Drosophila melanogaster: one gene and its partners. The protein of the gene in region 1 interacts with the protein of each later gene in a pairwise test. Each region holds a gene or a part of one and is shown on either strand. Other genes may lie near its edges.

What was found. Proteins that work in one complex are often made in the same cells at the same time.
Region 2: the proteins of CG43386 (region 1) and EndoB interact in a two-hybrid assay, tested with the Drosophila melanogaster proteins (one large-scale study listed by BioGRID).
Region 3: the proteins of CG43386 (region 1) and CG6180 interact in a two-hybrid assay, tested with the Drosophila melanogaster proteins (one large-scale study listed by BioGRID).

The regions. Positions count from the first base shown.
Region 1 is NC_004354.4:9,974,314-9,979,459, forward strand, and holds the start of CG43386 (uncharacterized protein), read right to left. Parts: upstream 3,093-5,146; 5' UTR 2,846-3,092; intron 1-2,845. Other genes in the region: CG15252 (uncharacterized protein), read right to left, coding at 3,892-4,281, 4,407-4,466, 4,533-4,676, 4,736-4,804, 4,859-5,068.
Region 2 is NT_033778.4:19,306,738-19,312,377, forward strand, and holds EndoB (endophilin B), read right to left. Parts: upstream 3,929-5,640; 5' UTR 3,816-3,928; coding exon 3,738-3,815; intron 3,577-3,737; coding exon 3,079-3,576; intron 2,962-3,078; coding exon 2,926-2,961; intron 2,847-2,925; coding exon 2,656-2,846; intron 2,495-2,655; coding exon of another isoform or gene 2,290-2,494; intron 2,077-2,289; coding exon 1,836-2,076; intron 1,779-1,835; coding exon 1,650-1,778; 3' UTR 710-1,649; downstream 1-709. Other genes in the region: Acadvl (Acyl-CoA dehydrogenase very long chain), read left to right, coding at 1-370.
Region 3 is NT_033779.5:12,705,931-12,709,389, forward strand, and holds CG6180 (uncharacterized protein), read left to right. Parts: upstream 1-1,730; 5' UTR 1,731-1,840; coding exon 1,841-2,614; 3' UTR 2,615-2,750; downstream 2,751-3,459. Other genes in the region: spict (spichthyin), read left to right, coding at 1-517; CG15484 (uncharacterized protein), read right to left, coding at 979-1,599; CG5787 (uncharacterized protein), read right to left, coding at 3,323-3,379, 3,445-3,459.

The sequences.
Region 1 (5,146 bases):
ATATAGCATATAGCATAATACCCTTCGCCAACATGTCGGGGCATAATTTGGCATTGCCCAACTGGCGGGGGGGTTATGCAACGGTTGTCATTATGCATTATGCGCTGGCTGCTATTTTTTCTTTCTTTTTTTTTTGTGTGGTTTTGCTCAGTTTTGGGCCATGGCATTAATGTCACCTGCTCATCGCTGTTCTGGCCACAATGACTCCGCTAAGTGCACGCAGGAAAAACAGAGAAAAAAAAATTAATAATAAAATTAAAATGGAAAATAGATATAGTGAAACGGGTAACAGGTCTATTGGGCACCCCCTTGCTTAACGAGTAACCGTTTACACGCCGCAAGTTGGGAAGACGGTCATAACCATTACCCATTAACCAATTCATTTGGACCGAGAGTGCGGCTCGTTAACCAGATGGAGGAGAAGCCAGCACTCGATTCCGCATCCATTTCCATCTAATGTATTCAACTCCGCCGCAGCAATGGGCCTCTAATGAACTGCTGATGGCTTTGCGCAAGTGTTTTACGGCCAGTACATTTGACATTTGACCAAGGAAATGTTTTTAAGACTGGGATTACTTATTAATAAATATCTAAAATATGCCAAAATAAATATGTGCCAGGTATAGGCAAGATATAAAAAAAAGAGGTACCATATATCTTTAAAACCAATCACTAAGCAATAGAACGTCTTGCCAAAGAATTGATATTTTTGTTTTAAGAGATACGTTCAAATGACTTTTAGTTGTTGTGTGTAGACAATCTCTAAAAAGTTGCAATTAACTTAGCAAATCCCACGAAGATTTGCACCACATGTGTAATACTCTAATGGAAAAATAAAGTTAATTCGGTTTATATTAAGACCGTTTGTAAGCCAATCTTTCGCATCGAGTGCTTTTGCTTTGTACCCAATAGCCGGGTCGAATTTAATTGGAAAAGGCGTTGCCGACAGACTAAATAACTGACCACCATTCACTGAAAACTCAGTCTGAGAATTAGTATTAGAATCGGACAAACGAACTTTGTTCTTGGCCAGGCAAAAATGATTCGTTTGATTTTGCGCAAAGGTTGCCGGAGATTCAGATTCTGCTGTCATGTAGCGTTTATTTGTTTGTTCAGCCATTATTGTAATTATAGTATTAATAAATCTCGCCACTGGCGGCCGGCGAAGGTCGCCCCGTAATAATATCATTTTGGCATTAGATATTTTGAAAGGCATTTCAAATCTGATCACTTTGCTTAATTGCCGTGCAGAACTTAGTGCTGTTAAATGAGGCGTAAATTGGAAATCACTTCTAAGCTAAACGAAAATGCCAAAGGCTTATGAAATTGCCAAGCAAATAAAACTCAAGAGTATTAAACATATTTTATAATAGGCAAAAACACTCCGGTAATAACATAAACAGTCATTCGCCCAGACCCGCATCAACTTATAATTTACTGCCCAGGAAAAATATCATCATAAAAAATGTGTGAAAATTCGTATAATACAAGATCTGCGATACGGACTTTAACGCTCATAATTGAAACATAAAGCCACAACATATCGAGTGGTGGATAAGAAATTTCGAGATTTGCATATTAATCGGCCCGAAAAATATAAAAGGGTGCATTGTTTAACGGCCATAAGTTTCTACGCTTTTCGATATCGGGTTGCCACAATCGATTTGCATAACTCTCCCGAAACAACCGCACAATTTGGAGCGTCGCCTGGTCAATAAACTTATTGACCGACTTAGATATGACACCTGCATATATATCTTTTTGTTTATGAAGAGACGCAACCCCCCCCCCCCCGCCGGTTTGCCTTCGGCGGATTTCCAGCTCGACTGCTCCACTTTCATGGCGTTCACTTTCGCTTTTTTCCTCGTTTTCGATTTTATTTATTTATTTTTTATTTTGGCCCAGCTATCATCACTGAGTTTTGTTATTGCTTATGCCTTAGAGTTGATGGCTGATAGCTTTTAGCTTTTGGCCCAAAGCGCGTTGATGGCTAAACTGGCTGCTGTATCTTGGGCTAAGGCTTATCTGGCCAGAGCCATCGATTCGACGAACGACCTTGAGACCGTTACCGGTTTCTTTGGGCCAGGCCACTCTTGCATGGCCCAGACAAGTTGGTGATTTTTTTTGTTTTTTTTTTTAATTTTTGAGTGTCTTTTTAGCTCTGACTCTGGTTCATCCTCAATCATGACAGCGACCAGGGGTCAGGCCGAATATGAGTAGTAGGTTACCAGGTAGTTAACCCCGAAAATTCAAATGAAATGCGAATGAAATAGAGTAAAAAGGAAAGTTCCCTCAAATCACTTCCCTATAAAAACAAAAAACCTTTTTAAAATGTATGTAAAATTTGTAATTTATATAGCATTTTAAGTAGCACGTCAACCAGTAAATGTTGGACACCATCCATATAGCTTAATATAATCAACAATCAAATATGACACTGAACACAAAGCGTAAGTCATAGGAGAACAATAAAACTCTCCCTTTTTTCGGCTTACGATTGGTTAGGCTCTTGTTAATTGATTTATGAAGCAATTAACGCATTTGAATCTTCACTTTTGCATTGTTGACGTCGGCGCTGTTGCCAAATTTCGGTAGCCAAAGCGATTAATGGACGAACGCTAACCAATAGCGCCCCCCCCCTCTTCAATAACCCCCTCCATTAATAGCCCCCCGTAGTGTTGTTTGTTTTTGGAACAGACCTGACCTATGCCAGCATTTTCAGTTGAGGCTTAGCCCAGTTAGCAAGTTCGTTGCCTAAGTCTTTCGTTTTGACATACATTTTGAGCTGGGATTGTCGCTTATTTCCCTTTTTTTCGGCTTTCAGCCGCCTTATATACATACTCACCCGAAATATAATAAAATAAAAATGCGGCTTGCCAAACTTAATTGCAATGCGAACTCTCCGAAGCACCCAAATATATAATTGAGTTCATAAACAATTTCAAAATGCAAATAAACCAGCACAAACACTGAGCGCACAAGAAAAACACAAAACAATAAACACAACCTGAAGTTTTTCAAATTAAAAACGCGACAACTAAACGGCCCGCAAAATGTCACTTTGTCTTGTGAAAGATTCACGCATAACTGAAAACTGAAACTCGCCGCTAAAAAAATATTCAGCCCACTTCAAAAAAAAAAAAGAGAAAGACAGAATGAGAGAGAGAGAGAGAGAGCAGGCGGAAGAGAGAGAGCGAGAGAGTCAGAGAAAGCACCAGAAGTAAACAAGTAAAAGCATTTTAATGAAACCTGTAATCAGTAGAAAGTGACACAATGCCCGCTCCATTGGGCAAGCTACCAAGTAGTTGGCCCACGGAGAAAGGTTCAGGGAAAACTCTTGGGTCAAGAAGATCCAAAAATATTCGCTATTAGGCTATTGGGTTACAAAATATATATTAATTCTATCTTTTTAATTTAAATATTAGTTAATTAAGGTATTGCCAAATGTATTTAAAACTAATTTTTGAAGCGAAACTCCTGAGCCGAAATCCGTAGTTCATTCCCCTGTTCTACCTTCCACTGAACTTTAGTTTGAGGAAATGAACCCAAACAAGCTATTTCACCCCTCAACCTTTACTTAGTTTTTACTTCCGCTCATTGCGAGCTTTCGCTTTTTGCGTTTCCATCCAGTGATTTGCCCCACCGCATCCTTGGGGGAGTGGTTCATTGCAGTGGCTCCCACTGAATTCCATCGGATCTCTTGCATCAGCCGCTGTCCAAGCTGTTACGCCACTTGATTTAGAGCCCCTCTTTTACGCTTTCTTAGCTGCCCAAGTGACCAACAAGTCTTTCTCCTCACTTCTTTATTTATTTCGGTTACGAACTAGCAAAAAAAAAATGGGTTTAACACAAACGATTAACGTAACTATGATTATGTGATGACTAAGCTGGCTAGAATGGCTCATTATGGTAGGGGTTCCAAGATCTATGGTGATCTGCCGGCTTGGCATGATGACCCATGCTGCTGCTGGCGAAAATATTCTTGGCTGCACTCGAAGCTCCTCCAGCGGCTCCCAGACCGGCATTCAAAATCAATCCAAGGGCATTGCTCACCAGATGGGAGGCCACTTGCTTCACAAATCCTCCAGAATCAAAGTTATTTGCCGCCGCAGCTGCCCATCCACCGCCCTCCTTCTTCTTTCGCGGGCGTGGCAACTCCGCACTTCCGTGTCGCTCCTCTGAGCCGTCCTCTGAAATTGGTCGAAACTTTGCCTCCAGGAAGCTGGTGATCAGGTTCTTGGTGAAGGTCAATGGTTGCGGTGGGCCCTCCTCCTCGGGATCCTGTTAAAGATTGTAGAATGTTGTTTATTGCACTCGCTAAATAAATGACGTTCAGGGGTTAGTAACACAGTTATGAGGTTGGGATCTAGAAGGTAAATATATATATAAGCAAAATATATAAATACAGCGCTCAATGCGGCCAGCACAGTGCCCAAGAAGTTGCCTATAAACTGGCCATTGTTAATCTGGAAAAAATAATATATGCAAGTAAAATGACTGGAAATTCATGAAAATAGGTTTGAGGAACCCACCGCTCCACCACCTCCAGAGAGACCATCCAAAGCAGTGCCCACATATTGTCCCAACACGAGGCCAAAGTTCTTATTCCCGCCCAGAAGACCAGAGATCAGCGAGGTTCCCGTTTGAATCAGACCTTGCACATCTAGGCCTCCAGGCTAAAAGATAGTTTTTCTATTTAAATACCCTTGATTGATTGGAAAACTTCAATACTTACTCCAAATAAAGTGGATATCACACCGGTAAGGGCACCAATTAAGGCACCCACATCGGAACCACCTTCACCCTAAATAAATCCATTTTAAATAAATATTTATGGGTTTCTTAGCCTTCCACTTACACCGCTCAGGCTGCTAATGATGCCAACCAGACCGCCACCGCCTCCTCCACCACCTGCTCCGTCTCCGCCATCACCGGGCTCATCCCCATCGCCCAGGTCATCGTTGTCATCCGTGGCCAATTCCGACGAGGAGCCTGTGCCCTCCGCCTCCACCTGTTTCTCCGGCTTTGCTTTCATTTTCGGTTTACCTTTGGCTGTAACATTTGGCGACTTCAAAAGGCCGTGGGACAAAGGGTTAGGTGAACCAAGTCAATGTTGGGTTAGGTCATCATCAATTAGCGGTCATTG
Region 2 (5,640 bases), on another chromosome or scaffold:
CAAAAAAACGGCCCATTGTATTGATCTTTTTGGACAATCGGTGGAAGAACTATTGCTGCGATACAACAAAAACATAGTTAACGAACAAATTTTGCTAACACGACTGGCAAATGCAGCCATTGATATTTATGCAATGGTTGTGACGCAATCGCGATCATCCCGTGCAGTCAATCTGAATCTGCCAACTGCACAACACGAGCTCAACATGACCAAGGCACTCACTATTCAGGCATCTGATCGAGTGATTAAGAATCTACAGGCTGCCACATCCAGTCATCATAGGTCTCTCAATGAGAAGATTTCCACCATCGCCAAGACCACTTTGGAAAATGGCGGTGTGACTACGACTGGAATCTTGGATCAAAACTAGACCAATATACTTTTATACGAATTTTAAGCCCTTGATTGTTAACCTAGTATGAATGCCAATAAAGTCTTGTAAATAATAATCGCTGAAGTCTAAAGTTCACCTCGCTCTCACATACGAAATCTCTCTAAAGTGATTATGCACTATCATTGAACAAATGAGTAACAAATACTTGATCATCTATAAATGAACTCAGATAATAGAACTCTTGAAATCAAATCACCTCTATTCCTTTTACGTAGAAAAGCTCACAAATATAATTTAAAGCACTTACCATCTCGATCTGATTTTCAAAGCTGGACGGGCAATCTAATGAAATACAAAATAAATCGAACTTAATTTGGTTTTGTTGTTTTAATTTTGATCATATATTTGTAATTATGTAGTATAATAGTTGGTGTTTAAAAATTCGCTTTTCATATTACAACATTGTTTGTTTGCTGAAAACCTAAAAATCATCGTTGTTTACTTTTTAATTATTGTATTGTACGTTTTCAACAATATTTATCTGTTATTTTTTAGCTATCAAGCGCCTTGGTGTTTCAAAGTTTTGCCTTAAATGTAACAAGCAATATTCTTTTAATTGACTTTCAAAAATTGCACGAAAAATTTGGTAACATAATAATTGCAGCAAATATATTAGATAATAATTGGAAACGCCTTCGCTGAATATATAGATAATAGGATTAACAATTTCATACTTACGTTTATAATTATAGGATATATAGTAAAGCACAGAGAATTTCGCTTGTTAACTAAGATATTGACAAACATAACACATATATAATACTTTTTCGAGTGTAGAGAAGCTTAATAAAACAGCACTTTCTCTTTAGATATGCGATTAGATTTAACAATCATAATGTTTGGAATTGCATAAATTTACATGTATAACTTGACGGTTTTTCAGGCAGCCAGAATGCATATTTGATTACAGCGTGATCTGTGCAACGGAGTAGCGTAGCTCTTTGGGCATGGATCTGGGTTTGATTATTACCGAAGGCTAATCTACAATGCTTTTACTAACCAACACGCTCATGTATGTATATTATGCCTTGTATATATTTATGTATGTATATTCTAATAAATTATTGTACTCTCTTGCTAGTGCCAAATGCCGCTTTGGCCGCATCCTTTAATTGTCCAATTGCCGTTCCCTTCTCTCGATCGTGTCTGCTTTCTTAACATATGAGTATTGCCGTACTTGGAGTATTTTCTTGTTCATTAATTTTGCTTGAGATTATTGAATGATTGATTATTGCTGAACAAATTGCTGGAGGGCTTAGAGGGTGACATCGTGCTCTTCGTCGAGCATTTCAACAAATGCGCGTGGCACCAGACCCTTCAATAGACCCTGTTTTCCGTACATGTAATCCTCGTTTACTGGTGAGCACTCCGTCACGAAGATCACCTGAAAAATGAGTTATATATAAGCATTGCTTAGGATATTATTTGTTCTTTACTTTACCTCATTGGCGCTCAAATTAAGCTCGGTGTGATCCTTGGCGTCGTAGGAGCAAAGGACGCGTGCCCTCTGCATCTGATCCGTGCTGACGTGCATGGGCTGATTAGGCTTGTGGCCGGTGGCAGCCATATTGGCAGAGTGATTGTTGCCAGGACCACGGGCTGCGGCTCCGGACGATATGTTGGACTTGCTGGCACTGGCCTCGTTCACGTCGAGCGGAATGTATGGCGTGGGGCCTCCCAAGCTGATGGAAGATGCAGAGTTTAATGAGTTTTTGATTCGATTTGATAGCGAGCTCTAAATGGAGAGATGAGCTGCTGAAACCTGACTTTACAAAGTGCAACAACTACCGATAACAGCAACCTATCTAGTACGTATGATTTGAAATTAAATGCTAATGTTAACTGGGCATGGAATCCGATTCGATATGAAGATCACAATAACAAGACCCCTAAACTGTGGAGACGGCTGTCGTATCGAATTCTATGTGAAAGTCTTCGAGCAGATTCGTAAGCGACTTGTCCAAATCGGGATCTGGATCGCTATCTAGGGCTATCCCCCCTAATGAATCGGAATCACAAGAATGCATCGACACCGAGCTGGGAGGCCCACAATCAACGTCTTCGCTATTGATACGCAGGCGTGGCTTGGGATGCTGCATTCTGTAAGACCACAAGCAGATATCATAACGCACAGTGAGACCACCAGAAGGGACCACGGGTTTCATCAAGGATGGGACATGGTGTTTTGGTGTGCAAGAAAAGATTCGTTTGGTGCCTACGTGGAAGTCACAGTCATTCTCTATCGATCGCCTACTACTTACTTGGCCAGTTCACGCTGCAGCTGCTCCATGACATCGCCGCACTGCTTGTAGTAGCGCACTTGCGTCTGGATGAAGGCGTGCAAGTGGCGCAAATGAGATGCCTGCGATGTGCTGATCCCGTCCAGCAGCAGCTTGGTAATCTCCGCCTGCCGGTCGAACTCGGCCTGAGCCACCCGCAAGTCCCGTTCCGCCTAGAAAAAATCGCAATTAGAAATTGGCTCATTGATTAGCCATAAATCTAGAGCACGAGCTCGGTCAAGGTTTTGATACCTGTTCCAAGACGGCCTCTGGCGAGATGCCATCTTTCTAAAAATTCCGGGCAGCAGAGGGCAGAAAAAGACCGTGAGTGAAAAAGCCATTACGAAACCCAATCAATCATACCCCCTTGCAATAAGGAAACCCCATCAAATCCCACCCACTTACCGATTGCTGACCCAGCATGCTGCGCGCTTTCTTCACCCTGTTCTTGCAGGCGTCCAGATCCAGGCGCTTGGTCTCCAGGATGCCTCGCTCCTTGCCAATTGTCTTCATTTCGCCGTCTAGGAACTTGCGCAACGGCTGTGTAAAGCAAATGCCCGAGGTGGCTATAAAGTCGTGCTCGCACTGGCCCAGTTTCTGTTCCGCTTGGCCGACCTTGATCAGAGCCTGACCATAGGGTAAATCCTGCCCGAAATCGCCCCCAGCCTCGATCATGTCCAGAGCCAGGTGCTCTAGGTTGCTCAACCTTTTTGGCTTCGACTTTTCAATCTTCTCGAAGATGAAGTCTTCGACCCGGTTCTGAGGATTGGGTATCAGCACCGACTCTGTGTCGCGCACTATCTTCTCCGTCCATGTCTTGGTCACATCAGCCCGCTCGGCGAGATTCTGGAAGTGCAAGTCGTACTCGGTGCGCTCCGTGGTGCCCAGTTTCTCCTCCGTGAGCTGAAAAGGTCATTGAAAACAATGGAGAGCCGTTGAAAAGGGCAAAGAAACAACGAAAGTGCTTGAGATTGGTTTGGGGTACATCTGTCATTTGCCCAACCACCGAAAGTTCACCACCACCCGCTTTTTTTTCAGCCACCCAAATTCATTGATTTGTTCACCTGCACCACTCGTGATATTGTGCTGCCCGCCTCCTTCACCAGGTTCTTCACATTGAAATTCGGCAGATTTATATTCATTTTTGCCGAGAGGTTCGCTAATTAACACTGCCGTTGATAAAGTTTAAATTTAAATTCCGCTACACAGCCCAATTTGTTTGTATTTATTTCCTCTACTTCGTAGTGTGACCCATTGTTTCTCCCAGGAATATACCAAATATACCGAAGAATTCCAACTGGAACAGAGTTCTAATTGGAAATACTACTATTGAGTAAAATGTAAAATTGTATTAATTTTTAATTTATCATAGCTTTTTCTTCTTTATTCTTCATGTAAATGGTGAAACGAAATTTACTTCTATTAAACAAATGCCACGACATCAAAGTAGATAACAATTAAGCTGTCTGTTAGCAAATACATACCTACATACTATGTAAGCTAACAGTTTCGGTAAATCAAGTGTGGTGAGTATCTATATAGTAACGAAAGCTACTATGGCAAGCTTTAAAAAATGTGAACGTTTGTACAATATAACATAGTCAATTAATCATGATATGGATGAAAATCATTTTTCAACATTTAAACTAATTTTTACTTACCCTGCTTGCAGACCGTGCACCTTGTAATTAAACCCCCAAAATAAAACACGATTTGGAAAACATTTAAATTTAACTTTTCACATTTAATACACACTCATTAGACATATATTATCGGAGCGGAAAAATTAAAACATGCATTCAATTGATAACTTTTCACCACTCTGCTGCTTCTTACATTTATGGCTGACTTTCGCTTTTCCTTATACATCATATGACAATCTGTGCAAAATCGAGTGTGCTTTTATCACTTTCCTATATAGTTTTCGGCTCGAATTCATATTCATTCATGTTGAGCGAGAATAATACACAGAGTTCTGGACAAAAATCAATTACAGCTATATGTATATATTTTAACTATCTGTTATAGATCGGATATCTTACACACATGTTAGGATGCACGTATTATTTGGGGGTTTCCTTGAATGTTCCAAATCCGTTAAATTCCATTGTGCTGCAATTGTTGGTGATTATAATACTTAATGGACATTTATAATACATTTAATGGACATCTAGATTGTTATGGAATAGTTGTGTGATTTGCCCTACACTACTAGTGTTCACATTAATAGTTAAAAATCTACAAATTCTCGATCCGACCTCAATATTTGATACAGCAGGTCGCATTGCACACGTTAACAAAATGGTTTTGCTTAGGCTCTTGATTTAGTGGACCATGTGTAAAATCACATATTGCATTAATGTAAAACTACGCTGACATGAACCTAAAAGTAGCCCTTGTGTAAATCTAGTGTTTCTTTCGTATTTCTGCTATCTTTGATTAATTTTGAAATGGTCCCGACTAACTTGAGAAACCTAGGGCGTGCGGATTGTGGGTGCACGATGGGCTTCTTTGTTTAAAAAAATGGTTTTGTTTAACAATTACGGCATAATAATCCCTAGGTCTATTTAAGCAAAATTGCACAATGTGGTTAATATAGTTTCTGGTTTGCAATCGATCAATTATATTATGAACTTTTAATTCAATCAACATTCATGTGAATATTTATGCCATTTTAAAACGAGATTCAATGCCATTACAAATGTATAACTACACGTATATAATTAACAATAAGTTTCATTCGGCGGACAAGCGCCATATCTTCAAAAAATCAGTACAATTGGTATTCATTCGTCCACGAACAAGGGTAAAATATTATTTTCTCATTTTAAAAATTATTGCTTTTTATTTGGATTCCTTTGTATTACGATTTCTTTCAATCAAAAATATAACTAATTTATTCCAGTCGCCGTATTACAACGAGCATTCAAAATTATCCCAACTCATGCTTAGAGGAAAACGAAAGAG
Region 3 (3,459 bases), on another chromosome or scaffold:
AGTTTATATCTTCTTGTGCTCCGGCATCGGATCTCTGACTGTGATGTCCTGCAAGGCATTGGGCCTAGCCATACGGCAGACGCTGAATAACGGAGGCAACGTCTTCCTCACATGGATGCCATGGTTCCTGATCCTGGTCACCGTCACTTTCATAGCCATCCAGATGAACTATCTGAACAAGGCGCTGGATATATTCAATACTAGTATAGTTACTCCAGTGTACTATGTAATGTTCACCACCCTGGTGATAGCTGCGTCTGCCATCCTCTTCAAGGAGTTCACCCACATGCGGTTCGATGATATTCTCGGCGATGTGTGCGGCTTCCTGATCGTTATCACAGCTGTGTTCCTGCTCAACGCGTTCAGAGATATTGATATATCGCTGAACGATGTACGTGGACTGATGCGACCGAAAATGCAGCGGGTGTCGCAGTTCGACGAGGAGGTGCTGGTCACCAGCAATACCAAGGAACGGCGGCTGTCCTACGGATCCAGCGACATCTTCCGGAAGGCCTGACACAAGCAGCGCTACCAGGTCTAGTTACATCCCTTGCAGCGGCTGACCTGAAGACAAGGTTGCTTTACTCCGTAAACGAGGCATTGGTCCAAATATCTGTGCATATCACCTGCAATCACTTTCATCTCATCATTTCCATTTATTGTTCCTTCACTCTTGTTATTCATACATTCGCTAGCATAAGCACATAGGTTTAGGTTACACTTACATATATTAAACACGACTTAATGAAAACGATTTGTAATTGTAGTTTTATTTTTTGATTTTTGATATGATATTCGTATCTATGTATTACTAAAAAAAAACCATTAAAATATTCTACTACATTGGTAAATGTAGGTCGTTCCAAATCGAACGACAATATTCATTGCAAATAATGTGAGTACATGCTCAATCGGATTTAGTAAAATAAATCTTCAAGTTATTTTCAAGGTTTGTTAGTTAGTAATTTAATGAAGTATCTATGTATTCTGAATTTCGCCCTTGCTGGTCTTATCTGGATATTTTAATCCGTTCAGCCAGATGCAGTTGCTCAGACTTTTAGCGGTGTGAAATGAGTCATCGGCTGAGTTATCCGGACTGTTCTCCACTGGCGGAAGATCCTTTGGTCTACGAATCTTTCGTGGCGTGAAGAAGTCGCGATCTGTGATTAAAGGAAATCGCTGGCTTTCATTTGGAGCAACCGCAGGTAAGCTGATCTGCGGCTGGAGTGTCAGTGAGTCCTGTTTCAGGGTCATTCTTCCGAAGTTCCGGATGATGGCAATCGCCTCCACGTCCACCATTGTGGTGTCCTCCCAGTCCTCCATTGTGGCGTGCTCTCCCAGCGGCTTGGTGCCAGCTACTCTCTGAATCGTCTCCATCATTTGCAGACTTTGACGAATCTCTCGGCCCTTTCCACCCCGCGTGCCATATCCAAGCAGATCCTCGCGGGCTGTCAAAAGCTCATAGGTATGAATGGGAACGGATTCTGAGAATTCCTCTTTCTTCCTCAGTTCATAGGCGATCTGTCCATGGACCAGATTAAAGTGCGGCTCCAACTGCACCAGATCGTGCTCGAATCGTGATGTGGGAACCCAAGCCATGATGATTTCAGTTGCTTATAGTATTCTCACAGCCTTATTTTCATTTCCCGGAAATGCTTTTCTCAAGTAGACTGCGCAAATATTTTCGAAGATTAGAAATTCAAAATCACACATTCCTATCGATAGCGATAAAAACGTTTAAACGCTTACAGGTGAATCGCAACTTATCGATTGTCAGTCGGCAAATAGAACAATAAACAGTTTTTTAATTAATCCAATTTGGTTTACTTAAGCAATAAGGATGATTTGTATGCGGCTCCGGGTGTTGCGTAATCTCAATCGCAGCGCTTTAAATGGATTTAGAAAAGATTACATCCGATCAACCGGTGTGAATGTCAATTATTCAGCTGTCAACTTTCCGGCCGCCATTAGAACGCTGAAAACTTTTAGCAATTCTATCCTAACCAAGGAACCGAAACCAATCTTTGCATTTATCGCATCTCAGCGGCAGTATTCTTGCGAAAAAGTAGGCAAAACAATGGAGGAGCACTGCGTAGTTCCGGATGTGATCGCCAAGGCACCGGCGCAGACAGCTGTGGTGGAATATCCCGGCGATATTGTCGTGAAGCCGGGTCAGGTCCTGACCCCCACCCAGGTGAAGGATGAGCCGTGCGTGAAATGGGAGGCGGACGCCAATAAGCTGTACACCCTCTGCATGACCGATCCGGATGCGCCCAGTCGCAAGGATCCCAAGTTTAGGGAGTGGCACCATTGGCTGGTGGGCAACATACCCGGTGGAGATGTCGCCAAGGGCGAGGTTCTCTCCGCCTACGTGGGATCCGGGCCTCCACCAGACACCGGACTCCATCGTTACGTTTTCCTGATCTACGAGCAGCGGTGCAAGCTCACATTCGACGAGAAGCGACTGCCCAATAACAGCGGAGATGGACGCGGTGGCTTCAAAATCGCCGAGTTCGCCAAGAAGTACGCCCTCGGCAATCCCATTGCCGGTAACCTCTACCAGGCTGAGTACGACGACTATGTGCCCATCCTCTACAAGCAGCTGGGCGCTTAGTTTCTACGCCAAAAACCATGCTTATATAAGCCAGTCTGAATTGGATTCAAATCTATTGTAACCTAGAAATTAAAGACACCTATGAACACTCTGTGAAACCCTCTGTTGCTGGCAATAAAATTGTTAAAGACATATTAACTAAGCCACTGTATCTTATTACACATTTTCAATATTTTCATATCTTATCTTGTTAATTTGTCTGAAGTAATAATTCGGTTACCCTTTGCTGAGGCAAAACAGTTTCTGTGCTGGTTATGTATTTATTATTCATTCCAATTACAATCTACTTCTTTATCAATAGGATTCTTCTAGCGTCATTTGTATACATACAGATTTCATGAACTTGAGTTTATATCTCGCCAAAATACATGCTTTGAAGATACAAGACATAATTGCTATCGGACCTTCCAAATAGGAAGAACGTTTCTGATCAGTATTATAGTTATTTCCCAGGGCGCAAGAGACGCCCATCTGGGTAAGTTATTTATTTGTAAAAGCATTGCGACATAATTACAATCTACTTCTTAAAGTCAAGAGGATGGTTCTTCATGTGTGCAATAATAAAGGTCTCTAATACAACTAGATGCAGACTCATACAATCCATAAAATAATGCTGAAGAAGAACCCACGCTCTATTTCCTCCTTTGATGGGTCCAGTGCATATTCGGCTGTTGAGAAGGAGGGGAGGTGTCTAGTTTCCAAATTACTTTACTCTATAGAGGGAAAGACAGTGCGATGGTCTTTCCATTCGGTTTCGCTGATTGCCTATAAAAAGCAAGGTCGGAGTTAGTTAGTATGAAATAGGCTGCATGACTATGTTACCAACTTACCACTAGCTCGTCGAA